Solanum lycopersicum: one gene and its partner. The protein of the gene in region 1 interacts with the protein of each later gene in a pairwise test. Links are inferred from orthologs where the notes say so. Each region holds a gene or a part of one and is shown on either strand. Other genes may lie near its edges. The genes, in order: 4-coumarate--CoA ligase-like 1 and type III polyketide synthase B.

Region 1 (16,791 bases):
AATTATTATTTTAAACATATATATATTTTTTTATATCACAATAATTCGTAAGTTTTTAACAATTTTTTAAAAAAAATCGAGTTTGAGCTAAAATCCAAAGTAAACATGATTAAAATTCTTGAACAATTCGTCAAAAATTGATCAAACTTTTAAAAGCCATCCAAGCGTCGACTTTTCGTGAATTAATGATCTTAACTCATCAAAAAAAATTCCCCAATTTCAAATGACAATAATAGAAGGAAAAAGAAACAAAAATAATGACTTCTAATCCAATCACCAAAGAGAACGTCATATAGAGGAAATTTTATAATATCAAAGAGATTAAATCTGCTTAGCTACGTTTGTTTAATTGTGTTTCATAATTTTAGTTTCATTTGTTATAAATATTTTTATTTGTCTAATTTTGTATTTACACATTTTGGATTTTTTCAGAAATTATACAAAATAAATGTATCAACAAATCATATAGAAACAAAATAAACAAATCGTATATAAATAATTAAGGTAAACATGTATAAATTTTAGATTTATATATTAGGAATTGAATTATACAAATTCTATATTTACACGATTAAATAATTAATTTATAAAAATTTTGAGTGTGGCCTATATAAATATGATTATAGATCAGTGACAAAAAATAATTTTTAAAATTATAATTATGTTAAATAATTAACTAATATATATTTGGATATTCGCTCAATTCTCATATTGAAGTAATGAAGCACAGTCATTGTTAGACATCAAATCACAATTAAATTGGGGTCAGTTAGGGTAAAGCACAACCAGGCCTTTCTCTCCTTTCTATCTTGACTCCAATATTTAGCCCAGCCCAGAAAACAGCAAAAGACTTAAAATACAAAAAGATAAAATAAGAGTAAATTTTAGGTTTAGCAAATATAAAAATTATATTAACGCTCTATAGTTATAGTTTTGCTATTTGGCCATTAAATTCATACAAATTGCAGATATGCATTTCGTTTGTATAAAAGCGCAACGATTGTATATGTATATCGACTAGACAATTATATATATGTAATTACTATATATATGTACCAATGATTCTGTTTGTATATGTACATAAAATTTGAATTTGTATACAATTGATCTGAAATAAAACATTCTTATCACAAATCTCTCTCTTGCTCGTATTATACAACACAAATTATACATTGTAATTTGTATAATTCGTGTTTGTATATATGAGAAAGATAAAGGAGAAACTGGTACGCGAAGATTTGTATTTGTATAATTATAAGTGTATAAGACGAAAATATATATATTTGTATATATTGTTTTCTGTCGCTTTATACAAACAGAATTTATACATTTGCATTTGTATAAATAAAGTGAGAGAGGCGAGTTAGAGTGGCGAGCGAGATTTCTGGGGAGAGACGCGAATGACAAGTGTTGGTACGGATTATAATTAAATTAAACTGTGGTTGTAACATTTGATTTAAATTATAAGGTTGCTATTTTATACATTTTCTCATAGATTGACAGATGGATAGGGAGGGAATAGGCAAGCGAGAGAGGGACAGAAAGAAGAGAGAGGCAAAATGTATTAGCATATTTAATATATAATTATATATATGTAACAAGTATGTGTATGTATCAATTATTGCATTTATACATTTGTTGGATGATTATGTATATATAATTAGTATGCATATATATCAATGAATAAAACTATATTAATGCATAAAGTTTGTATCCGAATATAATTTATATCAATGAAAATTGTATCAGCGTTGTATTATCAAGTCCGACATTTGTATAATTATTGTTATCATTTGTATTAATTGTATTAACTAATACAATCTACATCAATTAATAAATTGAATCAATATTATATCAAGTTCATCATTTGTTTCTGTATAATTGATTATTTTCATTTGTATCAATGTCGTATCATCAAATTCACTGAAAGAAAGATATATATAATCAACACTCATTATTTTCCTCCAATACCAACTACTAAATGAAAATGTCTCTGATTATATTGTCTCAGTAAATCATGACATATCAGGATATTATGCACCATAGACCTTCCTTGCACAAAAGCAGCTAATTAAAAGATATCATCACATAATCACCCAATCACGTAATTTTTCCGCGTAATCAATATTTTATAGTCTTATGATATTGGTATGATTCTTCTTTGTGGGAAACTTACATAAATATGTTATAATAAAAAAATATTTATCATTTATATGTAATAATATTTTTTTTTCACTTGATCCCTTTTAATTCAATTATATTACAAGTTTAATATATATAAACAATTTATTATTCACATTTAATACAAATTTTAATAATGAATAATACATTTATCACATATTTTAGTACAATTATAATACGATGTGACAATTTTTTACCAAATAAACATGATATATTTTAAAAAAATAATTAAAATTCATATATATTGTATACATAATTCACTTTTAATACATATTATAGATTCAATACAGCATTGCTATAAATGTTAATAAACAAAAGATATCACTAAATCGGTAATTATTTTTTATAATGTATTAATTTATGTAATTTTTCCGTTCTTATTTGTAGGCGTGTGGATTTAATTTCATAGTCTAATTTCGTTGGATATGTTGGGCTAATTCAAGAGATTCTAATGGGCCTAATAACGGATCAATATTTTTGGGAAGTCCATAAAAAAAAAAAAAAAAGCAACTATTTCATCCCCGAAACAAGTACGACGTCGTTTGTAAGCTTTCTTAGTCGACCAGAGCGTGCTTCTTGATTTTCTTGAGCTTCGTTCCCATTTCCCTCTTTCTCTGTATAGGAACCACAACAAACCCTAGCCTAATTTACAAGCCATAGCCATGACGATCCGGCAGCTCTTAACCCTAGCCCGCCGGTCCCGAAACCTATCCTCATCCCATTCACTGCGGCGTCTTTCTTCGGCGTCTGCCGCCGTCGCCGCCACATCCTCCTCCGCCCCGGCCATCGGTCCGCCACCCCCAGATGCAATGATCTACGATCGATTGGCTGAAGACGTTAAACGAAAGATCAAGAGACTCGAGAATCCTGATTCCCGATTCCTTCAGTACAACTCGCCACACCCAACTTTAGCCGACCACACATCAATCCTCAGCTTCCCCTCTACGCGCGTGACTACACTACCATCGGGCCTGCGTGTGGCCACGGAGACTAATCTCGCTGTCAAGACTGCCACCGTTGGGGTATTCATTGATGCAGGGTCAAGGTTTGAGACCGATGAGACTAATGGAACAGCTCATTTTCTTGAGCATATGATCTTTAAGGGTACTGAAAAGAGGACTTCTTGGGAAATGGAGGAGGAGATTGAGAATATGGGTGGACATTTGAATGCATATACTTCCAGGGAGCAAACAGCATACTATGCTAAAGTGTTGGATAATGACGTCCCTGTAGCTTTGGATATTTTGGCTGATATACTTCAGAATTCTAAGTTCGAAGAGAAAAAGATTGAACGTGAACGTGATGTCATCCTCAGGGAGATGGAGGAGGTGCACTTTTTTTCTCTATTCTTTGATCTCTGAATATCAAGTTTGCTGTTTTTTCGATCTTTGTCAATGAGCTGCAATAACCCTACGTTATATTCTACTAGTCTCTGCATGCACTTGAAGCTTAACTAGTAAGCTGGTCACTAAAAACTAATTGGCATATTCATGTCAATTGACTAGTTTTACACTGACCGCCAACCTTGCAACCCTCATTACCCTCACGTAGGGTAAGAACTTGCTCTAACCCCAGTTCTGAAATTCAAGATCACTTGCGTTCTTGTTGAGTTCCCTGGATGCTAACAGGTTTTAACTTTACTGTTTCTTCGTTTTTCTTTTACTTCCATTTAAAATTACCTCTAGCTTCTTCAGTTTTATGAAAGTATACAGTCCATAGTATTTGAGTACTGTTGCAGAGAACTTTCAAAAGTAAATCTAATTGTATTATTTAGATTCAAAGAAATATCTGAATCCAATGAAACATAGGTAGATGTTGAAATGGTTTACTGATTAATATCCTAAGATTTTATTGAGGATTATTGTGCTTCAGGGAGTTGCCCTTGTTGATACAATGTAGTATTAAGTACTAACCGCTATGTATCCTCATTATTTGAGAGATTAAGAGCCATAATGAAGGAAATGAAATGGCCGTGCATTAAGTTTGTGATTGACCTTACAAAGAGAAGACGTTCCTCTCTAGAGAAACAGAAGAGAGGGAACTCCACACAATCCAAAAAGTTACTCCTGTAGTGAGCTTATGAAACCTATCATGCTGCCTGTATCATATACAATCTGAAAATTAGCAATCCATTATAACTATCTGTTTGCAGGTCGAAGGTCAAACAGAGGAAGTCATCTTTGACCACTTGCATTCAACTGCATTCCAGTACTCACCTTTGGGTAGGACTATTCTTGGACCTGCCCAGAATATAAAGACAATCACCAGAAGTCATCTGAAGGACTACATATCAACACATTATACCGCTCCCAGAATGGTATTTAGAAATGATTTCATCTTCTTTTTCTTAGTCTGTCTTGCTTGTTAGCTCAAACTTGATTCTTCAAGTATTATCATAATCTGCTGTATTAACTCTAGCCTTTCCCGTGGACATTAAAATAGGTAATTGTTGCTTCTGGGCCTGTTAAACATGAAGAATTTGTTGAGCAAGTTAAGAAACAGTTTACTAAACTTTCAACCAATCCGAGTACGGCCTCAGAATTGGTTGCCAGAGAACCAGCAATTTTTACAGGTTCAGAGGTATGCCTATCTTATCAGGGTTCGTTACGCCTTCACGGTGCTTTTTTCAGTAGAATAAGTTCTTATGCTGATCATTTTACCAAAATCAGGTTAGGGTAATTGATGATGACATTCCATTGGCACAATTTGCTGTTGCTTTTCAAGGGGCACCGTGGACTGATCCAGATGCCATTCCACTGATGGTAATGCAATCCATGCTGGGCACTTGGAATAAAAATGCCGGAGGAGGGAAACACATGGGGTGAGTGTATCACTAGTTCTTTTACAATTTATGTCATCGCAAGCATGTCAATGGATCTGTCTCATGTTTTTATGGGACTTCCTAATCATTTGCAGCTCCGATCTGGCACAAAGTGTTGGCATTAATGAACTTGCTGAGAGCATGATGTCTTTTAACACCAACTATAAGGATACTGGTTTGTTCGGCGTGTATGCTGTTGCAAAGGTACAAATCTTTAACACCTAGAGTTCCTTCTACTGGAGAGAATGTAGTATGATGATGCATTACCTTATTTTCTTGCATTTTCTTCCATCAAATAAAATTTGTTTTGTTTTTCTTTTTTAATGTGTGTGTGTGTGTGAGAGAGAGAGAGAGAGAGACAGAGATAGATAGATAGAGAGAGAGAGAGAGTCTGAGAGGGGTGGATCTGTTGGTTAGCTGAACAGCTGCTATAAATGCAAGCTCTTGCTCGGCTGATTGGAGTATTAGAGTTTGATGTAAAGGTTTTAATGCACCACATCTTCTATCGTGGGGTTTATGTAAAATGTACGTTTTATCCTTCAGCTTGTTTTTGTTTTCATTATGATTAAAATGTAGTCTAGATTCTTGAATATGCTTAAAAAGTATTCTAAGTGTTTATTGGTTGTATATTGAATGCGGAGTGAAGTAGTTCTTTTTCAATGTCATCTACTGCTCATGTTTTGGATAGATGTAGTTCATATATTATTAGACAAGGTGTTACTCATCTGCTTGGATTTTTTGAGATATTGTGGTTAGTGTAAACTGAGTAATTTTATTTATTTGTTCTTAAAAGAAGCAGATCTTTTCTCTAATGACCAAAAAAAGACGGTTAGGTGTTGGTATTGTGACCCTTTTGACTGGCATGTGGTTGTAAATAATTCTACTATATATTAGGCAAGGTAGTTCTTATCTTCTTGGATTTTTTGAGATAATTTGGTTAGTAAAGTGAGCAATTTTTTTATTTGTTCTTAAAAGAAACATTTTTTTTCTCTAAAGACAAAATTAATATGATTAGGTGTTGTATTACCATCCTTTTTATGGTTGTGAATAATCCTTGTTTTATCTTAAATGAATTCTTAATGTGCAGCCTGATTGTTTGAGTGATTTGTCCTACTGCATTATGCGCGAGATAAGCAAATTGTGCTACCGGGTTTCGGATGCTGATGTGACTCGTGCTTGCAACCAGGTTTGTGTTACTTAATGTTAAACAGTCTGGCTAGTTGTTATTACTCCTTGCTGTTTTTCTTTGTTTCTCTCTAACCAATATCGGTTTGCAGTTGAAGTCTTCTCTCATGCTACACATTGATGGAACTAGTCCTGTTGCTGAAGACATTGGGCGTCAGGTACTATTCTGATATCCGATTCTGTGGTTGTACACATGTGTTTTGTCATGATTGTAATTAGTATTTTCTCATTAAGTTTATTCCTTGTAATTTCGGGGAGAAGTGGTGGGATTGGGTGGTATCATAGATAAGACGCTGCAAATGTAACTTAATTCCTTCTCTCACGGTATTAGTTTCCAGAAGAATGTTCTGGACACCTACATATATGTGCATAAAAGGGACACTGAACTGCTTCATGTACTTGAATCATTCCATGACCATAAACATTCTGAAGTAGAAGCTATAATAGTATCGAAGAGGATATTTTAGGAACTTTGTTACTCTTGGAGCAGTTTTAGTTAAACCGTGCCTAAGCCTACTAATGGCACTTCCCTACCCTAGATGATGACGATAGTTTGGTCCATTATTGCATATAGATTCTGAATTTCAAGATTTCACGATGCCTGAATAATCCTCTTCACCACTATAACAGCTTCTACTACCAATATTACTGCAACTAAATATAAACACGTGTTAGCCATATCAGCAGCAATTCACTGACACATTCCGTATTTGGTTCATTAAGTTCATTTTTGTTAGAGGTAGTGTAACTTGGTGGTGCAGTACAACATCAAGTAGCAGCCTAATTATGCATGCTTAATGTCTGAATAGATTAGAACAAAATGAATGCTGAAAGGTGTTGCTGCCAGCTGGTTGGTAAAAATAGCCCTTAACAGACCTTATAAGAAGAAAAATTGGAAAACAAAAAAGAACAGCTCTTAAACCGCAGTACCTTTGCTCATGTTGAGTTAAGAAAAAACTCTAATGTGAAGAGCCAAATGATCAAAGTTTTGCTGACAAGTTTTGAGTGTGTCATCAAGTATTTGTGTTTTTGCATGTCAAGCGTACTGCAACATCTGCTTGTAAGTGGAGAACATAGGTTGATAGCCCCCCCCTCCCCCCCTCCCCCCCTCTCCCTCCTTTCCAATATGTGGAAAAATTGTATTTTATGTAAGCTTGACTTCGTTAGGATGGGATCCAGTGATTATTTGTAAACTAAGATCATCCTGCTTGCAGCTACTCACATATGGCAGAAGGATTCCAGCTACAGAGCTGTTTGCAAGGGTTGATGCTGTGGATGCTAGCACCATCAAACGAGTTGCAAACAGATTTATCTTTGACCAGGTAGGATTCAAAAATATTTGAGACATGGGAGTTCATTGCTATGAAACAATCTTGTTCACTCAACTTTCCTTTATCTTATTTTCTGAGTTTAAACCAAAATTTTCTTCCTTCTGGCAGGATGTTGCTATATCCGCGCTGGGGCCTATCCAGACACTACCTGATTATAACTGGTTCAGACGCAGAACCTACATGCTCCGTTATTAGACGATTCTTTTTTTTCTTTTTTTGGAGTTGTAATGCATCACAATTACACACCTCGCTCGACCATTCCAAACTTGGACATATAGGTCTTACTTTTCCAATTCTTCCTCTTGCCTACTTTCTGGTTTTGTAACGGTTTTGTAGCTTTTCCCTATAAAATAAGCGGCCTATATTTAATAATTTGGTTGTTGACGTTTGTTTTCATATTCTTTGAAAAAAATTGTACTCGTACATGCAAATTAACATGGTTTACCCTGTACTTTTTATATGAAATCAAGAATGCTATGGACCTCATTCAAAAATTGTCTTGAATCTCTTCTTGGTATTCAATGCAGTAAATTTCAAACTTAATGAGGTTGAATTATCTATGGTAGCCTTGCCAAAGCTGTTTTCAGTTCGACGTTCTGGTTGTTGGTACGTTAAGTAATTGAAGTTCACAAAGCAAATTCTGGACCAGTGTAAATACGAACCGAATGCGTGCAAGTGAGACGCACACAGCTAATCGGAGAATAAGTTTTTAGAAATTGTTATTCTGGCAATGGGATTGAATTAGTGCAGATGAGTTAAGGCAAGATGAGTTATAGGAAAAATAACTTGTGCATGATACACGTCAGGCAGAATGGAATGATTCAACAAATTCTTACTTATCACCAAAATAAGAAAAGGCTTCTTCTAACCTGCACGTATGCTCATTTCATATTCGTGATGCTACTACTACTTAGTACTTACCAAGGTAACATGATTCACCTATAAATTAGCTTGAGGAGTTGAGACAAGGCATATTCCTGGCAATGGAAACTCATGTTGTAGAATGCTCACAAAAGCAAGAGGAAGATGAACACATTTTCCGAAGTAGATATCCTCCAGTCCATGTACCAGACAATGTGACTCTCCCAGAATTTGTACTTCATAATGTAGAGTTATACGCTGACAGACTGGCTTTTGTGGATGCTACCACGGGCAAAGGCTACACATATGGCGAAGTTGAAAGAGACATAAGGAGGTTTGCCAAGGCCTTGAGGTCCCTTGGCTTAAGAAAAGGAAGGGTTGTGTTGGTAGTGCTTCCAAATGTACCGGAATATGCTATTGTTGCTCTTGGAATCATGGCTGCTGGTGGTGTCTTTTCAGGTGCAAATCCAGCAGCTCATTCATCCGAAATTATGAAACAAGTTGAATCTGCTGATGGCAAGCTTATTGTCTCTGATCTACCCACCTATCACAAGGTACGTAAGCTTCCAACTTATCAGTGGATTATGTAGAATTTTGCCTTACAGTGTCTGCACATTATCTATGATTTGTGTATGGGGTTACAGAGGTTTTAAGGCTTTACTTCTTGTTCAATCGATGTTTATTATATACACACGGGCACGTACTTGTTTAAGAAATTTGAGATGACACCTCTTGTAGAAGAGTGTCTTCAGATGGCTCATTAGGACCAAACTTCTTGTACTTGTTACTCGTATTGGTCCAACTAAAACTTGCATTCTACTATGATGGAAAACAAGATGCTTTCATTTTCCACCTAAAGTAATGGGAATTGCAGGTGAAAGATTGTGGATTGCCAGTAATAATACTAGGCGAAGAACGTGCAGAAGGGACGATTCATTGGGATGAATTGCTCGAAGCTGCAGATCGTGCCAGTTCCAGAACTGATCACATAACAAACCAAGAAGATGAAATTGTGCAACAAAGTGATCTATGTGCACTGCCCTTTTCATCAGGCACGACAGGACTATCCAAGGGAGTGATGTTAACTCACAGAAACCTAGTAGCAAACCTCTGCTCTACACTCTTTAGTATTAGTCCAGAAATGATAGGTCAAGTTACAATACTAGGTCTGATACCATTCTTTCACATTTATGGTATAACTGGAATCTGTTGTGCAACCATTAGGAACAAAGGGAAAGTGGTTGTCATGCGTAGGTACGAACTGAGGGCATTTCTAAATGCACTCATCATACATGAAGTCTCATTTGCACCTATCGTGCCACCTATCATCTTAGCACTTGTTAAGAATCCGATCGTTGATGAATTTGATCTCAAAAAGCTTAAGCTTAGATCCATCATGACAGCAGCTGCTCCACTTGCCCCTGAGATTCTTAATGAATTTGAGAAGAAATTTCCGGATGTTCAGGTCCAAGAGGTGAACATCCACTAGAAACTTATAATGGTCCTTCTCATGTCAACGAATTATTCAGTCCAAAATGTTGTTTTTGACAAGTTCTGTTCTGGCTTATTCAACTGCTAGGCATATGGGATGACTGAGCACAGCTGCATTACTCTTTCCCACAGCAATCAGCACATCGCTAAAAGAAATTCCGTTGGTTTTATTCTGCCTAATTTGGAGGTAAAGTTCGTTGATCCTGATACTGGTAGATCTCTCCCCAAGAACACACCAGGGGAGATATGTGTCAAAAGCCAATGTGTTATGAAGGGTAACTCACTATAACTCTTCCTTTTATACAACCTTTTGTTCTTGCAGGGATTGGTAGATATATGGAACTTAGCTCTTTGATGCGAAAATTTTCAGGTTACTACAAAAATGAATCCGAGACTAGCCTTACAATTGATACGGATGGGTGGCTCCACACCGGTGACATTGGCTACATTGATGATGACGGGGATATCTTTCTCGTTGATCGTATCAAAGAGCTTATCAAGTACAAGGGATTCCAAGTAAAAAGATCACTAAACTTGCTAAGTTGAACCTGTTTTTATTTTTATAACTTACAACTTGACTTAATTCACTAAGTTGAATCAAGAATTCTGTTTTTACCTTTGTCTGTGGACCTCTTTGCTGGTTTAACAGGTTGCACCAGCTGAATTAGAGGGGATCCTTCTCACACATCCTTCAGTGGAAGATACTGCAGTAGTTGGGTGAGTAAAATCAGTTAGCTGATTTCAGTTTTAAAATGGAAAAACTGTAACGAATAACAGATGTATATTCTCTACAACTCTAGGCTACCAGATGAAGAAGCAGGAGAGATACCAGCAGCATGGGTAGTATTGAACTCAAAAGCAAAAGAAAGCCATGAGGACATCATCAGCTACGTTGCATCAACCGTTGCACAGTATAAACGAGTGAGACTGGTGCAGTTTGTGGATAGTATTCCGAAATCTCCTTCTGGTAAAATAATGAGAAGACTTATCAAGGAAAAGATGCTAGAAAGACTTAAAGAGGGAACATAGTGATGTTACAAATACAAAAAGCAGTGTACAACTTACTCCAAAAGAACAATAAAAACACAATGGTGTTATTTTCATATTCAAATATGAGATCTAATCATAGATTGTAAAAGACATTATTGGATTAAACCAAATTAAAGATGCTTCCTTTTTATGTTTGCATGCAGGTTGTGTTTGACATATATAATATCAATATCAACAACTATACTCAATCCCGAATTAATTTATTCAACAAACTAACTGTAAATATACATGCATAAAAACAACAAAAAAAAAGTGATGAAGTGTTATATTTTTAATAAATATTTAAAGAACCCAAGTATCATATAATCTCGTGCGGTGATGAGTGGATGCACCTAGAAATTTGAATCTTTTATTTATCTTGTTTTTATTTATTTCTAAAATTGTGTAACACCTCTCTAAACGGTGGATCAATAAAAGATAATTTTGGACTATAATTTTAAATTTTAATGGTTTTTAGTGATAAGAACCTAAATGTTAAGTTGATCAAATTTATATCTTGAATTCACCTTTTCATAATAATCCATCATCATCTCAAAATCTTGAATGTGTCTTTGCTTCGCAAATATGAAACATCACACATGTAATTCAATCTCTCAGAGGTAAGACATTAGGAACGGTGCTCCTAATGTCAAAACACTAGGTGATTCTTTTAATTGTTTTAGTCTTAGTGGAAATAGTTTACAAGTATTTATAAATAGTTTACGAGTACTTATTGCTGGCAAAAGGTATCTCGTAAAATTAATCGAGCTTGCATTTTTTGTTTTATTTTTGTAATTGCAACATAATTCCTTACTGCCATTTAGCTTTGTTGAGGGACTAAAATAGCATATTAGATATAGATAAAGGTCATATATGCTCTGCAGAATAATATAAAGAGTAAAAGGCAATAATTTGAGGGCTAAAAGCACTATTTTCCCCAACTTCTGCATAGAAAAATAGTACGATGATATGCAGGGAAAACTGAACTCCGAAACGACAACTGATTTGAGGGCTTAGGGTTCCGACCGAATCACTCTCGGATTGAGAATTCATTGGAGACTTCATTTTTTCAGGTAATTAATTTGTTATAAAAACAATTCATATAATTAGAGTGGATAAAAGTTAGATTGTTTTTCCAGAAAAGTTGGAATGCCATACATTTGTTTGGCCAAAGTAAAACTGAGAATTTTGATGCAAATCATTGAATTGCTGACAAAAAAGCAGCCTTAGTATAGCTCATCACTGGTAGAACCCTAAAAGAGCTGAACACGCAGTCTCTTTTCGTTCACTGGGCGGGGCGAGTTTATATATTAGTTCACTGAAGTTGTGATTTCTTTTTCGATATCTTGAATAATAAAGGGTGTTGAATGATGTGTATTCACATACGCAATGTGGGTTTTCACCTTTAATGGGCTGTTCTTGTTTTTCTGGCTTAGCAGAACAGGAAATGAAAGGGACAGAGATTTTTGTTGGTGGTTTGGCCCGTACTACTACTGAAAGCAAAATTCACGAGGTTTGTTTCGGATTTATGTTACGTGATCTATTTGGTTCCTCAAGTTTATTTTTTTCATTTTTATATTTTTGGTTCAAGTTTGTTTTTTCTACGTTGAGCTTGTTTTGATTTTCTTTTTTTTGTGGATAAAACAAGTAAGTATTATTAACTGTGTGAGCAGTTGCTGAGAGTTACAAAAAGTGCTTAAAGGATGTTCCGAAGAACAAATATGATATCTACATTGTTAACAATTTCAACTTATCAACAATATCATTTTAAAGTTTTATGATACCAAAAACAAGGTCAGTTAAACACTTATGCATCAGTATATGACTAGGGTAAGTTTCACAATCAAAACACTTACCAGTGCTTCACTCGGCAGAGTCCACATGATTCATGTTGGGGTTGTAAACAAAATCTTGTGTGGAGTTTCTTGTGTGTTCCTACCAGCTGCATGGAGATGGTTATATCCAGAGTCCTTCACATTACTCGATGGACCCTAATTAGAATTTTTTTTTTACAGAATGATCTCATAACTCCCTCGCTTCCTTAAAATGTGAAAGAGATGATTAGCATCATCGATATCCTTTTCATACATATAACACTGATCTAATGGGATAAAACAGTCTCATTCTCTTGTTGTCTTTGAGTGAGATAAACATCATATACAAAGTCCAACTAAAGCATGTGACTTTGGGTGGAGCTTTACCTTGCGCAACAGTTACCCAGGCCATTCACTGGATGCCTTCAGCAGATTATGATAGTACTAGACTACTAGTTAAGTATAGCATTGCTTTGCACGTATGTTGCGTTAATTAATAACAAATGTATATAAAAAGAATAAGTTGTTGTGTGTATATTATGACATTGAGTACAATTTTTTCTTAAAAACAATAATGTAAAGCTGTGCGAATGTTGTAATATTTTAGGTTAAGTCTCCTATTGACTTGAAGGATTGAAGTTAGGCTAGATTGATTGTTCAATCAAAGGTATAAATTCACTGAATTCTAAGGATGAGTAGTTTTCTGCTGTCTTTGAGGGCTTAGTTGGGTCATTTTTTGAACAGACCATACTTCTTTTGAGGCAAGTAGTGTTTATCCCTTATTATGGTAATTGACGCAACCAATTGCTCCTTTTTGATCCTTATATCATAAATTGTTATTCTCATGAACTATATTACAAAATGGATATTATTTTAACTTCTATGTAATAATAATCAATTTTGTTCTTAAATAAACTATATGATATAGTTGTTTGTCAGCTTTATTCCTCTCTCTTGGGGTTGAATTGTTAAACGTAGTTATGCCCTTTTTTGTGGTAGATCAGTTTACCTATTCACATTCTGCACTTGTGAATTTATTTTTCTTGACTCTATTTTAATCTTTAAAAAACTAACAGAACACCCCTCGGCCAAAACCTATGATTAGAGCTGGACTTCTTATCGTCAATGATTTGTAACTATTTTATATCATCACATTGTATTTGTGTCAGATTATGTGTATATATAAAACATCTGCATTTTACAGGTATTTTCTTCATGCGGTGAGATTGTGGAAATAAGGTTGATAAAAGACCAGATAGGCAATGCCAAGGTAGTCAGTATGATCTGTTTATTTGTATTACCTCTTGTTTTCATGCTTTGCCATCCCTTAAAAAAAAAGCTAAAAAAGAGACATTAGAAAAAAACACGGTTTAGATGCTAATATTGCAGTGCTCATTTGTTATGACTACAGGGGTTCTGCTTTGTACGATTTGCAACAAAATATGCTGCTGACAAAGCTCTGAAGGAAAAATCTGGATATGTGGTAAAAGGCTAACAAAGATGCATTATTTCACTGTCTTGATAAACCATTACATTATTATTGGTTATTGCGATGGATTTTGCTTTTGTGATGCTGTTATTATTCATGAATGTACATAAGAACGACCACTTACTTGGATAAGCATTAGTGTATAATTCCTAGCCGAGACTTTTACTTGATGGCTTACATCTATTTGCAAAGGTTTGCCTTCTTTTAATTCAAGAATGTGTTCCTATAAAATAATGTTAAGAAAACAATCCGACTTACTCAGAATATTGATTTTTCCCCAGAATAAAAGATTGTCTGTATAACATTTTGACACTTTAACACTTTTAACTCAACACTTGAATATTTTTCTTCATGAAGAGCTTGAACTGCACATCTTGCTTTCTTGAAAGCTCTGAATTTGTATAAATGCTGGGATTTGTTCCACCAATGGGAGCAATTGATCAGTTCCTTGTTTTTTGCCCTTTTCCCGTTTTACTTTCTTTTTTCCATTCTTTGAATAGCTACAGATACCTAATTTGGTATTTGTTCAACTATGCACGTCTTTGTATTGTTGGGTTATCTCCTTACTTAATTATGAGCATTCACTAGATTATATGTTGTATTTTATAACATAGTCATGGACCATAGATCTACTAATAGTTCCTTGGATCCAGATAGTAAGCCCCTAAAATCAGGTGGGGCGCTATGTAGATCTTAACAGGCAACAAAAGGTTGGTTGGTGCATTAAACTACCTTTCTGTTAACACATCAAGCTCTTCTTTTGGTAACGATCGTAGTTTGTCAATTCATGCTCTGCTAGCACTGATCATCGGGATGCTGTTGTATGAACTATAAAATACTTAGTAAAGTACCAAGCTAAATGTTACTATACAAAGATGGAAGGAAATTCTCAAGATATAGGATACTTTGACTCAAATTGGGTTGATTCTCCTATTGATCAACTATTTATGTTTGGATACTATGTCTTTTGTGGTGGTGACTCTGTATTATGGAACAGTAGGAATCATAACATTTGTTTTATCACATGATTCCAATAAGATAGAATTGTAAACTTACTTAGTTAATGCAAGTGAAATCTAGAAAGGTGACGTATAAAAAGGAACGGCGAGAGTATTATTTATCTGACTCATATTGGCCATTTCAAATTTTTCTTTTGATGACCGAGAAATCCCTGAGGGCCAGTTGCTCACGGTTTGAAAGTTGGTGACTGGATAAGACTACTTCTCTCTTAGTATGAAATGTTTGGAAAATATTCATCTTGTTATGAGTCTGATTGTTTGTAATCTGTTGAACAGTGAGATTTTCTCCCTATTACATTTGATATATTTTTGTGGCTATTATTTCAGCTAGATGGGAAGAAAATTGGGATTCGCCCCTCAGTTGAGCAGGACACACTATTTCTTGGAAATCTTAACAAAGGTTTGTTTCATTTTTCTTGCAAATCTATTGTCCAAGATTTATTGCCGACTTAATTAGTGTCTTTCTGTGACATTGGAGAAGCTTTATAATGACAATATCAAGTTACATTCAAATGCCTTCATTCAAAATGTGAAGATGCCATTACATAGAAGATATTTTGATCTTACAAGGACTTGCATTATCTTACAATTTTATGGGCTGATATTTCATACATATCCGTTGTCTTGATTAAATTCTCTTTTTCTTTCTCTCATTCATTTTGGGCTTTGTGCACGTGGTAGTTTATAAGGATACATTTTCCTCTCCAGAGTAGTGAATTTGAACTTTAAAGGATCTTCCTTCTACTTATGTTTTCTTTGGCACTTGTGGAAGAGACAAGTTTTTTTATAACTGTACGCATTCCTTATTGCTTGTCTGGATTATTTAAAGGTTGGGGTGCTGAGGAATTTGAGAGTATTGTGCGCCAGGTACACCTTTTAACTGCTTACAGTGCACTTTTTTAAAAATCTCTTGAAATATTGATGAATATTCATCTCTCCCTCTCTCTAGGTTTTTCCAGATGTTACATCTGTTGATCTTGCAATTCTTGGAGATGTCCAACTTGGTCAGAAGCAACGGAATCGGGGATTTGCCTTTGTGAAATTTTCATCTCATGCTGTAAGTGCCTCTGTCTATGTTTAACATTGTTAATTAGTATTATGGTTGTTGGACAATTTCAACTTTTTTGTAACATCACTTTTACTCATATCGTTGCATCTTAAATACTACAGGATAGAAGCTCAGGTTCGTGCTTTTGATTCTCAGTTCCAGAACCAAATTATGATGCCTAGGTTCTTGAGGAATCTCCCAATATGAAATAAACTCTCAGACATGTTATTAACCTCATTCTATAAACAAGAACACTCTCAGACATGTTATTCACCTCACCTTATAAAAAAAGAACACTCTCAGACATGTTATTACAGATTAAGAAAGTGAATCCTTGAATTATGATAATAGCATTCTTTTCAATCTTTAACATAAGACTGAAATGCATACCAGATATTCTAAAAACGTGAAACAAAAGCTGCAGAATTTGTTCTCTACAAAATTTTGAACACCACATGAAAATGTTATGTGTGCTAGTGAAATTGGTAAGTAACATGCTTATTAGAAACTAAAAAGGACAAA
Region 2 (16,961 bases), on another chromosome or scaffold:
AAATTTTCCACCATGGAGGCTACTCCCACCTTGACCCGTATGTCTTTGTTCCTAATCCTGTCTATGTCCACACATCATTTAAGCATCCTCATCTTTGCTACCTTCATCTTTTGGACGTTTGAGTTTTTGACTGGCTAACACTTCACCATGTACACCATAGTTGATCTAACAACCACTCTGCTTTATCTTTAAGTCTCGGTGGCACATTTTTATCGCATAGACCTGCAAGCCTCCATTTCATCCACCCTGCTCCAATACGATGTGCAGCGTCTCCGTTGATCTCCTCATTTCCTTTGATGATAGACCCAAGATAATTGAAGTTCCCTCGCTTAAGGATGACTTGTATATCAATGCTCACTTCCCCTCCTCCTCCTTCAGTGCAATACTAAACTTGCACTCCATGTGGTCTTTTTTAGTACTGCTCAATCTGAAGCCTTTCAACTCTAGGGTTTGTCTTCAAATCTCCAGTCTACATTGAACTTTGCCACATGATATATAGGAAACCTTCTATTCTTGTATTAACGAAGCTATAATATATTGTCATAACAATGTTCAGGATGTGTAAAACTTTTTATTGCATTTTAACATCTTCATAATTTCATAGATAACAGAGACAAAAATGTTTTCGTATCATGTGTTTTAGTGTTTTGAACATAATGTGTAGTCATTTACGATATATAGCACACATTAGGAAATTAGGTTTATTCTTAGGCAAAATCCACACCAGCATGAATATATGTTTCTTGGTTGTGTTAAATTATTGAGATCTGTGTTATTTAGGGGATTTAAGATAATGAAAATGGTTCAATTAGTTTTATTAGAGGTGATGACTATTACTTGTGTAGTTCATAAGTCAAATTTGAAAACTTAAAACTCATTAATAATCAAATTATGTATAAAAGAATGTGACCGAGGGAATACAATTTTTTATCATCATTTGGACTGAGGCGTTGTTATTGGTTTCTGTTTTAGCTGCTTGTAAGCATTTTGAAGTAGTACTCTGTTCATATATTATTTTTTGCAGTTTAGCAAAAGCATGTTAGTGAAGTGACCAGAGAGGCTTCTTATTTTTCCATGCCTAGAATCTTTCGTTTTCATAGAATTATCTCTGGACTCTAAATGGAGTCAGAGTGGGTTTCAGTTTTATCTGAGAATGTGAATTGTCTTTGGTTCTCTCAAGCAGCTGGTGTCATTATTCTCTTTGTTTTTGTTGTGATTTTGTTTGCATGACTCTTGTGATGCTACCCTCTGCACAATATTTCCTCTTTTCATTTTGAGAAGAAAGCATCTGTTCTTTTTTCCGTCTTCTGCAGGTGATCCCTTGTGCTGCCTTAGCTTTACTAATTCATCCATCTACATCACATCTCTTCGTCAATAGAGTCTTCTGGGCGTTCTGTGTTTACTTGGAGGCAGTTTCTGTGCTACCTCAACTTCGTGTCATGCAAAACACTAAGGTATAATTGCATGCCAACAGTTATGTAATGCAGATTTCTCAACCCCCCCCCCCCCCCTCTCCCTCATTATTTTTGTGTGTTGTGAGAACTGCCTTTGCTTGCCTTTGACCACCTCTTTGCTGTTTTGTGCACAGATAGTTGAACCATTCACAGCTCATTATGTATTTGCATTGGGTGTTGCAAGGTTCTTAAGCTGCGCTCACTGGGTTCTCCAGGTTTGATTTGCAAATTTGCAGTTCTTGTAGTAATTGGATTTTAAAACTCTTTAAGTAACTTTATTTGAATATCATTCATAGTTCCTGTATGGATGCCTCATTTTATGATTTTACCCAACATGGTTTTCTTTGACGAACAATTAACGAGCTTATATGATGCTATGATTTCATGTTCCTTGTTGGCTGGCCAAGTTTTACTGTATGGAATACCATTAGTTGGGCAGGCAAGGAGTTGCATTTTGATCACATACCAAGTACTCACTATGTTATGTGGAATTCATTAGGGATGTTCAATTATTTCTTTAATTGGTTGATCAAGATGTTTAATGCATTGGTTGGGCAAATTTTCACATATTTGGATTTTGTTAGCATGTTGTTTTAGCTCTAACAACCTTATGATTTTTTCGTTGCTTTGTGACAGGTTTTGGATAGTCGCGGCCATCTGCTGGTAGCATTGGGTCATGGTCTATGGCCTTCTATGGTTTTGATATCTGAAATAGTTCAAACCTTTATCCTAGCAGACTTTTGTTACTACTATGTTAAAAGGTAAAATAAGCTTCTCTCATGTCCATCTGTTTCTTATCCTCTGCCATTCCGTATTGATGATGACCTTTTACATTTTTCTTATTTATTGGCAGTGTTTTCGGTGGACAGCTGGTAATGCGCCTTCCTTCTGGGGTCGTGTAACTTACGATTGTGATAGTTATGGACAGAAATTTCACATTCGTTTGTCACTTTTCTTTTGGTTATCTTGGGTTTCTGTAGAAGGTCCCAGCTCTTGTCTAGGACCCTTGAGGCGCAATGCACCTTTTGTGAAGTTAGCACTATCTTAATTATATAAGCAGTAGATTTTCTTGCTATGATAGACTATTTTACTTTGTTTAGCAGGTAGCACTAACATATGGCTTTTGGATATGTACTCATTTTTGTACTCATGTACTAATGTACAATGAATGATAAATGATTTCTGACATAACTTTTCCTGAATGTACTCCTCCCCTCGCCCTTTCCCTTTCAGTAGGGTCATGTAACAAGGGACATACACTTACTCGTTTCTGTCATAGTGGGATGAACTCGTAACACAAGTTTTCTGAGTGAAATCTGCAACAACAGATCATCATTTCACTTCCACCACAGAACGTCCATTTCTTTTGATCTGCATTTGTTGAGAAATTTTCAACAATGTAAATTTGTATGTGGATGAAGGGGAGTGTAGGGTTTATGTACATCTTACTCCTACCCCTTTTTTTTAAGCGTAGAGACTGTCCTTTTGCATAAAAGTACAACTAATGAAACCTAAATGCGAACATATGAAAGACGTTAAGAGGATGAACCCTTTGCGCCCCTAGCTTCACGACTGTTTAGATTTTGGTATTCCTACCTCTGCCACATTGCCTGTTTCCTGACCGAACTTCTTTTTAACCAAATGTGTCTTTGGACATTGGCTCTACCCTTGAGTATGTAACCTATTTTCAGATATATTTCCACTAATTCAGAGTCATTTGATTAGGTAAGCAGCTTTTGCTTTATCTTTGTCATTTCCTTCTAAAGCTAAAAAATAAGGGAGGATAATCAAGTTACATAGCTGCCAACTGAACAGATTATTGTTTTATGATATTTTAAAAAATGATACCGCAGTGCTTTTAAAACAGAAGAAAATCATTTTAAATATATTGTATCGATGAGAAAGTTGATTTGCCAAGTTTTTTTTCTTGAACAACGACATACCCTTTACCATTATTCGTGGGAATGAATTGAATATGTTATTATTATTAATTTTTTTTACATAAATTGATATATTTGAAAAATAATTATTGATTTTAGCAATACTTTTTATATATTACCATTTATAGCAATATTATATTAAATTTGCAATATGTATTAAAAGTGAATTATACATACAATATATTTGAATTATAATTATTTTATAAAATATATTATAATTGTTTGGTAAAAATTTGACACATTGTATCAAAAGTATATTAAAATGTCTGATAAATGAATTATCTATCATTAAAATTTGTATTATATATGAATAAAAAATTATTCTTTGTAATATAAATTAAACTTGTATTATAAATGATTTAAAATTGATCAAGTGAAAAAAAAATATTATTGCTATAAATAGTAAATACTTATATATTATAATATATTTACGTAAGTTATTATTATTATTATAATAACTAACAACATACACAAGTCTGGATCCATATCTTGTACTAGCAGTACTATTTAATTACCATTGTGCGGTAACATCATTAAAAAGTTGCCTGATCGTATATGGTTTAAAATGTGGGATGTGAAGATGAAAGTGACAGCAGAGTATTATTGAAGTAAAAAATAAAAATTTCATTTTCATTGTTGTCCTTTTTCCTTTTTATTTCATTTTGTTGGGTTGCTATGATTTTTTGTTATAAGTGCGTCCAGAAGTTTCAAATTAAAATGGAATATAAATATTTGTACAGAAAGGAAAAGGAGAGCTCCAGAATACAAACAGCTGTAATGCACACAAGATGCTAGCTGTTGGGCTTAACTCATTCACAGTAATCACATTACACCACAAAAAAAGGAAGTAGCATTCATTATTGTTGTTGTTATGCTACAAATATAGTACTCTAATAAAGTATATATCATTTATATACTACATATTATTATTATTAATAATAAACTAGTATTAATACGAAATCAATTACTTAAACGTTAAAATTTTGATTATTTTATCTGATTGAAATATTTGTATAATTTATTAATGAAAATGATTGTTTGTACTTTTTTGTTAAAAAAATTTCTACCTACTTAACTGATAATCTCTCTGTCCCTATTTAATTGTCCACATTAGAAGTGACACGGCACCAATTATTATCATATGTTAGTTACAATTTTATGTTATTTTAAAAGATTATGCAGCTCTCCAAGTATAATAAATGTATTTTTCTAGTTCCAAAAAACATGCATTACAACTTAGTAGTACTAAAAATTTTCTAGAATTAAATAAAGACATATTAGAAAAAAAAATTATTGTCCTTCCTTGATTTGTTAAAATAGACAAATAAATAGAAATAAATATAAAAGAAAATATAAACAAGTAAATAGGGACAGAAAAAGTATTATGATATGATTAAAATGTTTACTTATTTATCTTGTCAGTCATTAAATGTATTGAATTTATTTGATATGATAATGATATATGTATTTTTTTGAATAACAAAATATTTGATACAATCGCACTAGTAAAATTTGAATTGGATAAAATTAAAGTTCAAATTTTTTAATATCGTACCATGGTTGTTGAATGCTGTTTGCTTTTGACTTGAAAAATCATGATCTTATCTTTTTTTCTCATATGCAACTTTGCAAGTTTTTGTGATGGCACAATTTCCAAAATCCTAAATAATTGTCACATATACAACATTAATGCTTTTTAACTTGATAAACTTCAACTACTGGTCCATACGCGTTTTCTTATTAAAATGGAACTCTTTTGTGGTCATATTATAGCTTTATTAGCTGTGTGCTAAAGATTAAGATAGATACCCTTTTTTTTCCTAGTATAAATAGTGGAGTCAGTTAAGATATAAATTAAAATATATATTTAAAAAAAAAAAGTAAATACACAAAATAGTCAACGAGATTCAATGCATAATATACTAGTAATATTTTATTGTTTTTAACTTATTCATAGTGGATAATTTCTGACTCAGAAGTATTAATTGACTCCTCGTGAATGATTGGGATTTATTGTTTATTTTTTTTAAAAAAAATAAACACTGTACCTTAACTTATATTGGAACTGATTTGTGAATTTTGAATCATAAATTTTACATATTGTGGTTTAACAATGAAGTTTAAAGCTTGAAGAGTCTTATCGATTAAAGATGATTAGGACAAAAGATAATGTGCATGATTCGTCAAAAAACCTTTAATTTTAAAAAAATTGTGTCGATCATGCATGTATATCACCTAAACTTATTTGTATATATTACAAATTTTAGAAGTGAAATATATTTAATGAATGAAATAGCACATTAAACAATAACTATTGAAATAGAAAAATATTAGTTAAAAGAGATTGATTTTCTTTTTAAAGTTGGACGTTTTTGAAATTTTCTCAAGTTTAAATAGTTTCTTGGTTGGTATAAAGTCAAATAATTTTATTTTTTTTAGGATACGTATTTATGTGTTATTTCTAGTACTTTTTAAAAAGGTATGTTTCACTGGAAAATTCAATTTCCAAGCATAAAAAATCTTCGAAAAATCAACATTTATGAAAGGTAATTATGAAAACAAATGGGGTCGAGTAAGAAATGAGCTTCTTATTATCTTTAACTTGAATATATATATATATATTGTGGCGGAATTAGAAATTTCTGAAAGGGTGTCCAATAATAACAACTTGTTATGTTAAAAGTTTCTAAAATAGGTTATTTAATCATTTTGTATGTCATTTTACTTGTATATATGCTAATTTTTTCCGACAAAAAGTGTCCAATTTGACAGTATTTGACTATGCCAATATATATATAAGTAGTTGAACTTTTTATCGAGGGATAACAGTATTTATCATAAACTGAATTTTTATCTCGATTTATGTGATTCAAAAGTTTTTTCTAATGTGTTAGAGTATTATGATTTATAATATTTTGTAAAATAATTTTTAAATATATAAATTTTATTTCTAAAATAATTCATGATTAAAAAAAATTAACAATCTGGCTCTTAAATTTTTTAAATAATATCAGGTAAATTGACAGAGAGAGGTAGAGTAATTAAGATAAAAAAAGTGTAATTTTAAATAATATCAGGTAAATTGACAGAGAGAGGTAGAGTAATTAAGATGAAAAAGAGTGTTTTAAAGAGATATACATGAATGGTACTTTGAATTATTTGTTAGATAGAATCTTAAGTTCTCTTTTGGCCAAGGATAATATAATTAGGAACCAACTTGTTTTAATTAATGTAGCTTTGTAGACTTTGTGTTAGCTATGTACACCTACCACAGCACTTATATACACTTTGAAAAATGTACTAATCATTCCAGACTCCATGATTAAGCTGTTAGATATTTTATCAAGTAATTAATTAAATTCCTTTTCTCGATTTAATAGTATACTGTTAGGATCGAATTCACACACACTTGATAAATGAAGAATACATGAGTTTTCGAGAGAGATGAAAAATCTAGAGAGAGAAACCAATAGTTTGTGGTAACACTTCGTGAATAAACTTTTACAGTGGTGAGATATATATATTAATAATTCAGAGTATGAACAGTTACAGAGAATAAATACAGAATAAACAGTACAATCTAAAATTTAAACCGCGTAAACATTAATATATGTCAGTATATCAAATATTAATCAGGCTTTATAACCTAACATATACCCCATTAACCTACTACAGTATTAAGCATCACGTACGAAAAAAAAATCGCATGCATGAAACCTACTTGTATAGTATATATATATATATATTTTTTTTTTTTTAAAAAAATATTCTTTTTGCCAAGTGTGTTTTTCTATTCTATTTGTCTTCATATACATGATTCTATACATTACCACTATTTCCCCCCACTATAAATACCCCATTTACTAATCAATTTTCATAAATCAATTTTTTGGAGAAAAAATCTCAAAAATATTTCAAATTCCAATGGCCATTTCTAAAGCTCTCTTTGCTTCATTACTTCTCTCCTTGCTCCTTCTCGAGCAAGTCCAATCTATTCAGACTGATCAAGTGGTGAGTTATTTTATTTATTCCTTAGCTTACACAAAAATTATATTTATCCTAGATATATTTTGAACTCGTAATAAACAGTCAAAAAGATTATAATTTGGATTAGTGTTTCATCATAAAATTATGTTTCAAACGTTTTCTTTACTACATGAAAAAAAATTAGTCGACTATCTAAGTATATATAGAAAAATTTAATCATATTCCTTAATTTTTCAAGATTAATTTATTCACTGGTGATATATGTTTGACTTTTGCAGAGCAGCAATGCTATTTCTGAAGGCGCTGATTCCTACAAGAAAATTGGTATTTTCTAATTTCTTATTACTCTCCCGCTAGAATGCCATACAACATTTTGTCACCTTTTTCAATTTATAAATATCTATTCCCCTATGTCATGTATCAATTATAAATAATACGCTTCTTATATATTAAACCTCGAACATCCTTAAGCGAAATTCGAGCATATATAACTAATTATTAATTTCTCATATATATGTTGTTTACGTACAGACTGTGGGGGAGCTTGTGCAGCAAGGTGCCGATTATCATCAAGGCCAAGATTGTGTCATAGGGCATGTGGAACTTGTTGTGCTAGATGCAACTGTGTTCCTCCTGGTACTTCTGGCAACACTGAGACTTGCCCTTGCTATGCCAGTTTGACTACTCATGGCAACAAACGTAAATGCCCTTAAATTTCTTCTAAAAATATCGTATATCGTGTGATTACCACGGATATGTTATTATTGTAGTGTATTATTTTGTCATATATTGTGTCAATAATCAAAATCCAGTAAAATATCTTTAGCGTGGGTAATTTATTTTTTGGGGTGTTGTCTTTGTAATTTTGAGGAAATTTTATTTGTGTGTTGATTAGTACATCTGGTGTAATATTTATTCTGGTTTGCATTGTATTGTATAATAAGATGAGGAATAAATGAAGTTTGAGTATATTATTTTATATGTGTTTTATTCTTGGATGTTAAGTTTTATAGTACGGAATTAAATAAAGATTATTTGTCTCATTCGCAGCTCATTATTTTTCATACTATCGCATTGCTTCTAATATACTTCTAGACACGAATGGTTTAAAAGAACTTTTATAACATCATGTTACCTGTGGTATTGAATACATCAGTAAATGAAAATTATAAAACAAATTGAACCAGAAGGAATATAGTAAACACCAAAAAAAAAAAGTTCAACAATTGGACTTGCATCGAGTACTCTTTTAACATATTCGAATGATGAGACTCTTTTTCGTTTATTTTGTCGAAAAATTTTCAAAGATCAGTGACGCACGATTCAAATAGTGAGATTCTTTGTAAGAATACCCTCAAAGGTAATCCCAGGGCCAAATGCGAGAATCAATCCCCAATCAGTGATGTCTTTTTTCTCCTCCAACATGTATTCCAGCACATACACAATTGTATTGCTACTTGCATTACCATAATCTGCCAAAGCTCTTCTACTAGCACTCAATTTATCAGGAGACAAATCTAGCTTTTTCTCTAGCCTGTTTAAAATAGCAGGACCACCTGGATGAACTGCCCAAAACAATTTGTTGTATTCTCTATCTTTGATTCCAGAAATATTTATTAACTTGTCACAGAAATCCTCAATATTATCTTCAATTATCTGAGGTAGTTCCCTTTCTAGCTTGAAGCTAATTCCCTCTTCAGTAAGCCTGCAAATTTAGAGGTGGCTAAATTAATCTATTAAAGTAATTTGTCTAAGTTTAAACAGGCTTGACTGAGGCTTGGACAATCCTCCTCCCTATAAGCTAGTTAGTTTTTGGGGCCATAAGTTAGGCCTATGACTTAATTTAACAAATTTATCAGAGCAGAGCTCGTCTCACTTGATGTTGAGATCTCCAAAATCAAAATTGTCCACGCACCAGATACTGAGCACTGGGAGTGAGATGGGGTGTTAAAGAATGACAAAAATCTCACATGATTAATGAGATGGGTGTAAAGCTTGGATAATTCTCTTCTCTATGAGCTAACTTTTGGGGCATGAGTTAAGTGTAAGACTTAATTTAACAGGTTATAACATTGGTTTCTCAGAACTAAAAATATACTCGCTATACCTGCCATCAATGATCTTTTCTGTATCAGGCAAGAAATGCTGAATAGCAGTATGCAATTCAAAAAGAGGTCTTTCGATATCTCGAATCGGGTTAGATCCGATTATCATAGCTCCAGCACCATCACCAAAAAGAGCAACACCAACTAAATCATATGGCCTATCAACACTAGGTGGTTTGAACCCAATTATAGTAGTCTCTGAAGTAGCTAACAGGACTCTGCTTCCTGGATTATTCTCAGCAATGTCCTTAGCAACACGAAGGCCCGCCACACCACCAGAACAACCAGCAAAATACAGCATAACACGTTTAGTTTCCGGGTTTAAACCAAGTCCTTTGGCTAAGTAAAGATCTCCTCCTGGTAATCTAGCTTCACTTGAAGAAACATAGACTACATGTGTAATGTCTGAAATTGGCCTTCCCCATTTCTTAATACAAGATTGTGAGGCTTCAATTGCCATTTCTGTAACTGCTGCATTGCATATGTCTAATCTTTGTTTTACTGTTGGAAGTCCTTCAACTGCTAGTTCAGGATATTTCTTTAGGATCTCCTCTGACATTACCACGTACCGCGTTTTCACTGTAGTCGTCTTGCCTGCAAAGTTAAAGGAAACGAAGAACAAGATAATTAAATCCGCTCAAGAGGCAAATTCAGGATCCAAAAAAATATTGCACTAACTAGTTATTCATGAACATAAAGTATCTATAAAATATATGAACTATGTTTAGGCAGGTAGCTGGAAGACGCAAAAAATGGGCATTAGACTTGTAAGTTAATATCAAAATTTTAATCATGAGATAAAAATTGTTTGATACGAGACATCAACACATTCTCTCAATCAAAGGGCATTGGACTTGTAACTTAATCTCAACAAGAAGCATGAATTACTCATGAGTCTGACTCTGATGTCATTGTTAAGAAAATGAACCTCAAAAGCTAGCTCACGAGAAGAGGATTACCCAAGATAATATAACGAGAAAACAATCATGCTATCAGCACCTTACAGCTGCTAAATAGATGTTTACGGTTAAAAGAGTGAAAGAAAGGAAAAGATTACAGAGTCGAGTGAGCCTCTGCTTGAGTTCTGGATCATCACAGTTGGTGTTTTTGAAATAGCCATCAACCAAAAACTCTTGCATAACAAGCTGATGAGGGAAAGCTTTGCCCAGAGCAAGAATGGTGGCGTTTCCAAAGTTGATTTCATTCCTTCCTTCCATTTTCTCTAATATCCCCATTTACTCACTACTTGATCCTTTGAAGGTGGATATAACTTTGTGTTTATAACACGTACTAAATAGTTTTATGTTACTCAATACTTGCCACTTTGAAGTTGCACAACTTTCTATTTATAACAGGTATTGAATAGTTTATGTTAGATAATTTAAGCGGTTTTAGATGTATCATCAAACTGTAGAGGGGCTCAAATATTGTTGACTATTGAGTTTTTGGGGATTAGTTGAGGAACAAGATGTTCATGATTTTGACAGTCCACAAGTTCTATCTCAATTTAGTAATGTTGAATCTTGATACGTGGTTGGTGGCATTCTGGTTAGAAGAAGTTCAAGATACAACCTTGAGCAGAATGAATCTGTTACTGCAAGAACAAATAGACACAAATAATTCCCTCACGTAATGTGCAGTCTAGGCTCTTTTATGAGTTGGAACTTTTGCCCTACTCATAGCTCACCCGCTCTTGAAACAATTACTAAGCCACTAATAATGATACAACATCATTAATTGCGATACGAAAGTCGACAATTAAAATCAATGTATTTAACTAAAAAAATTAAACAATCTCATGATCAATAGGAAAGAGCAAATGGAGGTTGTAAACTTTGAACCTCAAAGGAACTTAAACGTTGTTCAAGTGCTTTGCAGATAATTTCCCAACTAGTATATAGGAACACCGCTTTCTTCCCTGACTAAAATTTCCATAAATCTTATAACTCATTCATTAGTTTTACAACGATTACAGAATATCAGCTATGTTTAGAGAAACTAGCTGGAACAATGTGGGCCGATGAATTGTACACCTGGACGAAAGTGGACATATCGAACCAACATTAAATTTCAGAGTGACATCTTGATACACTAATTTACCATAATATAATAAAAATTAGAGTCACTGGTGACTTAGTATAATGCAGTTCGAAGGAAGTAACATTCTCACTGCCCAGAAGTCTAATAATTGCCTAGACACAAATGTCATAGGTTCTTTCCACTGAAGCATGCACGAGATGAAATAAGATTAGATCACAGCTCCACTAAGCACTTCCCACTGATGTAATCAACAACTTGGGTGGCAGTTTGATCAAGTGCAGCGGTTACTGCCACCAGATTTTCCAAAAATTCTTCCGGTGTTGGTTTATCACCATCCACAATGTCTGTCACAGCTTTCACAAAAATGGCAGGAACTTTTAACAGATCTGCCACATAAGCTACGGCTGCTCCCTAAAACCCAAAAAACAAATTGGAACAGAAAAAGGAGTGAAAATGTATATCCTAACAAGAAAGAGCAAGGCTAAATGAGCACAGTGATTAGGAAACAAAACAGAAGTACATTGAACACTTGGCACAATTGCAGTCTTGAATTAGAGGGGAAAGACGGAAGCTACATTGAAAACTTGGCACAATTTCAGTCTTGAATTAGGTTTCCAAATATCATGCCTAGCACTAGCATCAAACATGCCTGGGAGGGAACAAGTTATTTTTTATTATTGAAAAGGTCAACTTTGAGATATTAAATATCTTAGACGACAATCTTTCTCAAAAAAAAAAAAAATATATCTTAGACAACAAGAGTTTATCTAATCGACGAAGTATGTGGAGCTCAAGGACAACCAGGAAAGACATGTTGATGGCCAGAATAACACTATTTGACCAATCTCTACAGGGGACTACAGAATGACCAGCGGACTAATTTCTCCAAGTCTTCACAAAAGCAATCATACTAAACTTAGACATTTAGATGTTACCTCCATGTCTTTGATTGTTGCGTCATTTGCAATGATAGATGCTTCATCCATTGGAGACATATCTAGAGAGTCACCAGTAGACAGCTTGCCTACCTGTAATGAGGAGATAAATTACATGACAAATTAATTCAATGTCTTTTTTAATCAGGAAAGCTTTTTGCTATTAAATATACCTAATGACTTTCCAAGTACATGGGCACTATAAGCTAGGCAGGAAACAATCAGATGTTATTGTGGAAGAAAGTATATACATGAACATTAACAAGTTTGACAAAAAAGGCATGTAAGTCTTACATGGTTCTCAAGCACATCGTAACATCTAGATCATTACTACACTCTTTCGAGAGAATCCCATTTTCACATGCCAACTCACGAGCATCCAAAATCACCTAATTACAGATATTGCTAAAATATATCCTTTAGGTACATGTTAAACTTGTAGAGATCACTATGTTAAAAGTTACCACATCTATGTTACTTCTCATTCTCAAAAAGACCACATCTTAAGTTGGTAGGACCTATTAAGATTGTCTATACTTGAGTATCATTTTTCAGAAAGAAAATAGCAGATAGTGTACAGGTACTGGCACAAAGTGGACTATAGAAACACGTACTTATATAGTAGAAGATCGTATCTGATATAACATCAGCACCATCATTCACATTAAGATAATCACCCACCAATCCGAGAAAAGAAGATTTCATATAAATCAAATTGGAGAGGAATGGATGTTAGGATTTCATATAACCAACCAAAATTAGTTTGGAAAATGACACAGATGCCCAAATCCAACTTGACAAAATGATAATGAAAGGACAATCTGAATCCACAAAATGTCAATGACGAAGAAGCTAAAACCACAATCTAGAGAAGTACATTCAGCAGCCATAGACAAGAATAGATATCAAAGCAGGTGAGCCATGAGCTAATTAAAGTTGGTTCTTTTTTATGCACAGTTGAACAATATTTACCTTCAAGTTAAGCTCCTTCAGAAGATTGGGTGTAGCAAAAGCCTTCCGCGAACCAACTCCATATATATCAAATACCTACACATATATGAGTGCACCCAAAGACCTTCAGCTTAGCTGCCCATAAAATTAGCAAAAAATAATCCAAATCATGCACCCAAAGACCTACAGCTTAGCTGCCCATAAAATTAGCAAAAAAACTTTCCAAATCATAACGTAGGTGAATCAAAAAATTTGAGGTTTGCAGTAAATAACCAGGGACTTCTTTTTTTTTTTGAGAATGATAACTTTATAACCAAGGACTTCTTTCACTAGATTATTGATCACAATGTCCTTAAAACAGTTGAAGCACCAAGTCCAGTAAATAAACTGGAAATGATGTAAAATGTAGAAGTTTAGCCACAACAATAATAGGAATTGTGATCTCTGGTTATGAGGTATAGAGGCAAATGGTTTGTCAACCTAGTGTCAGCTTTGATCCAGTTTCCCACATTCTATGTGGTTCTTAACAACAATAGAATTCAAAAGACATAATGCGTGGATGGAAAATGGATATTACCGGGATTGGTATTCTTCTGTCATGGAAAGCAACTTCTGATGAAATAAAAACATCTCCTATTGAAGCACCTTTGGCCTGAAATAAGTTAACGCGTCAAAAATAACATAACCAAAGAAAAATTTATGTTTGCTCAACATGGAGGAATAACAGGAACAAAATTTTCAATTAATCTGTCCCAATATCTTCCTGTTCCAACAAGGTTGTCGCTTTTCCTCTAACAATTTATCTTACTAGCGCTCAATAAGAGAGATGAGAGAAATAACAGGGAAAGAGGAAAAGGAAGATTATATCAGAATCTAAAAACACAAATCATACCCCAAATCCACCTGCTGTGCCAGCATTTATGATGAGGTCTGGCTTTAATGCTTGGACAGAAGCATATGTCACAAGAGATGCAGAAACCGTGCCCACACCATCAACCCCTGTGTTAGACCATTCATAAGTTAGTTTGACAAACTTTAGACCACTAGATTTGATGCATATAAGATATTTGAGGTATACGAGGACACACACTGCAAGAGAAAACATCAAACTATTTAGAGCATCAGATACTTTAGTGCTTTGGCAAAGTTATTTTCCTTCAAGCAAGAGGAAGGTTTCAAGAGTAGAAGACCAGGCTCTAAGACTACTGGCTACGTTCCTCTGCAAATGGGCACACCCATATATATGTACTCATTAACTCTAAATTACAGCCTTGATCTTGAAAATGCAATTCATCCTTTGACCCAGGATAACTAGCTAAGCCACATGCCTCTCAAGGATGAATTTCCAGATCTTCACCGCACATGTAGAAGCCACCATAACCCAACACAAAGGCAATGGAGTTCGAATATCACCTTTAGAGAAATTGTTAGAAGTTTAAAAGACAGATTTCATTACTGAAAACACTGGAGGAAGGGTGCTGTGAAGCAGGTTGGGTAAAAAAGGTATTTTACAGTTACAGCATGTACCAAATATGATACACTCTAGCAGAGCTGATAAGGTATGACCGTGGAAGAATAGGGCCCTTACAAAAGTAACCTGTTTTGGATGGACTACTATGCATGAATCAAGTCTTTTTTTCATAACTGCGGTGTTTGGATAGTGAAGAAGCTAAGTTGCTAACCACACCTTTCTGGGGCTTCATCAGTGTAGATACCATTCAAGTCTGATGGATAGTGAAGATTTTTAACAACTCAATTTTTGCATCATGGAATAGCAAGGAAGATAATTAATGATTTTGGATACTTTTGAGTTGTGGCATCATCCAAGGCGTGGCCAAGCAGTCAGTGAAGCGGACAAAAATAATGGAAAACTAGGCTCAAATCCCACTTGAGATCAAAAATACGTTTGTGTAATTTTTTCCAATGGCAGAGTGATCTAGTCCATGTGCTTGTGAGAGCTACCAGGTCCTAAGTTGAACTGATATGGGCACAAACCGTAAGCTAGCTTAGACACCAAACCGTGTATGATAGGCCTACTAAGTGATGCAGGAAAAAAAGGTCTACAGGTTCAGTATCACTGTTTACTGTTTGGACTATTTGAAGGAGAGAATAACTAGTTTCATTGAAGCAAAATATAATCCTCTTCATAGATTGAGGGCTTTTTATAATTTGCTTAAATGCTTCAGTTCTTGGGTATATTTTCAGTTTGTGAAGTTATGTGAGTTTTTGGATTTCAGGCACCCTACATTAGTACCACCCTAACAGGGAATAGGGATAACCTAGCCTGTTTTGTAGTTCACAACAATCCCACAGTGCTGAGTTTGTGAATAATACAACTTTCCTTACATCAACCCCCCCCCCCCCATTTTTTTTTTATAGAAAAAAGATGTATCTATAGAGATGGACATTTTCTATATACTTCAATGTACTTAATGATTGGACTAATAGGAGACATACCCCACGAAGAAAATGAGAGAGTCCACATAAAACTTCCCATTTGAAGAACTGGTTGGTGAAACTTTATCCTACCACTAAATGAGGCAATACACAATATGCTAATACCTCGAAGGGAAAGAAGGATTGTTACTATAATATAATTTTCTATCTCAAATGTGGAAACAATATGCTCGTGCATTGGTTATATAAGCGCCACGTTCATAAGATGTAATCAGCAAAGTAAAAATTGCCAAGATCAAAATACCCTACCCAATGCTGGGTCTTTCCCAGGACAAACAATATTAACGGTGAGACCCTTGTAATTACCATAGAACCGCACCCAAGGGACTCCCTTTGGGAACCTGCATTGGGCACATCATCAGATATTAGATCCAAGAAGAGACAGCAGAACAAACCACCAAGCATCGTAAAAATCTACTGCATAAATAATTACAAACTATATTGAGCATGTGGAAAATTTAGAGGTTCCTGGTCATCATTATAATAAAATTCCCAGGTCTTTTGAAAGAATCCAACAAGGCAACAACTCTTACACAATTCATTTTCGAATAGGATATCATTCTTTTTTCTAAATCATGTGAATCATCCTCAAAATATTTTCAGTTTGAATAAGTATTACCCCCTCCATCCCATTTTATGGTGCCGTTTGACTAGACACGGTGTTTAAGAAGAAAAGGAAGACTTTTGAAACTTGTAATCTCAAACAATCCTTAGATATTTGTGTGTGTGTAAATCATTTCATTAGTATTATAAGGGAAATTCAAAAGTTACATTGTTTATAAGTATAATAAGGTGACATTCTTTTTTGAACGGACTAAAAAGGAAAGGGTGTCTCATAAAATGGGCCGGGTGAATCAATACATATGCAACACATCATAATCTTGCTAGTTTGTTTAACAAGCAACCTCATACCACGTCCATATGATTCAACAGGTAAACACTGCAACATTTGTTGTCATAAAAAATATACATAGAGCTCTAGCATCTATAATATTTACCGCCTCAAAACTTGTCTAATAACTACTCTTTCATTTCTTCTACCACTAGTTTCTGGTTATCTTCACATGTGTATTTTGGTCATCTCGAAGACTC

Evidence for each region.
Region 2: the proteins of 4-coumarate--CoA ligase-like 1 (region 1) and type III polyketide synthase B interact in binary tests that used the Arabidopsis thaliana proteins (3 or more experiments, as listed by UniProt). The link is inferred for Solanum lycopersicum from reciprocal best matches to the Arabidopsis thaliana genes ACOS5 and LAP5.

Annotation. Positions count from the first base shown.
Region 1 is NC_090801.1:67,013,554-67,030,344, forward strand, and holds 4-coumarate--CoA ligase-like 1, read left to right. Parts: upstream 1-8,045; 5' UTR 8,046-8,501; coding exon 8,502-8,933; intron 8,934-9,253; coding exon 9,254-9,853; intron 9,854-9,958; coding exon 9,959-10,145; intron 10,146-10,240; coding exon 10,241-10,386; intron 10,387-10,519; coding exon 10,520-10,587; intron 10,588-10,670; coding exon 10,671-10,899; 3' UTR 10,900-11,058; downstream 11,059-16,791. Other genes in the region: probable mitochondrial-processing peptidase subunit beta, mitochondrial, read left to right, coding at 2,844-3,509, 4,334-4,498, 4,624-4,761, 4,851-5,002, 5,098-5,206, 6,090-6,188, 6,280-6,345, 7,402-7,509 and 1 more; uncharacterized protein, read left to right, coding at 12,347-12,412, 13,918-13,983, 14,125-14,196, 15,549-15,621, 16,051-16,088, 16,171-16,278. UniProt on the Arabidopsis thaliana protein: Carboxylate--CoA ligase that may use 4-coumarate as substrate.
Region 2 is NC_090800.1:93,557,854-93,574,814, reverse strand, and holds type III polyketide synthase B, read right to left. Parts: upstream 10,822-16,961; 5' UTR 10,722-10,821; coding exon 10,544-10,721; intron 10,081-10,543; coding exon 9,489-10,080; intron 9,087-9,488; coding exon 8,705-9,086; 3' UTR 8,484-8,704; downstream 1-8,483. Other genes in the region: uncharacterized protein, read left to right, coding at 1,314-1,454, 1,589-1,669, 2,091-2,215, 2,308-2,356; SN2 (snakin-2 precursor), read left to right, coding at 7,319-7,405, 7,660-7,705, 7,913-8,094; 5'-methylthioadenosine/S-adenosylhomocysteine nucleosidase, read right to left, coding at 11,740-11,937, 12,462-12,554, 13,434-13,508, 13,990-14,064, 14,305-14,411, 16,119-16,210. UniProt on the Arabidopsis thaliana protein: Plant type III polyketide synthases (PKSs) that catalyzes the condensation of malonyl-CoA units with various CoA ester starter molecules to generate a diverse array of natural products including long-chain alkyl alpha-pyrones.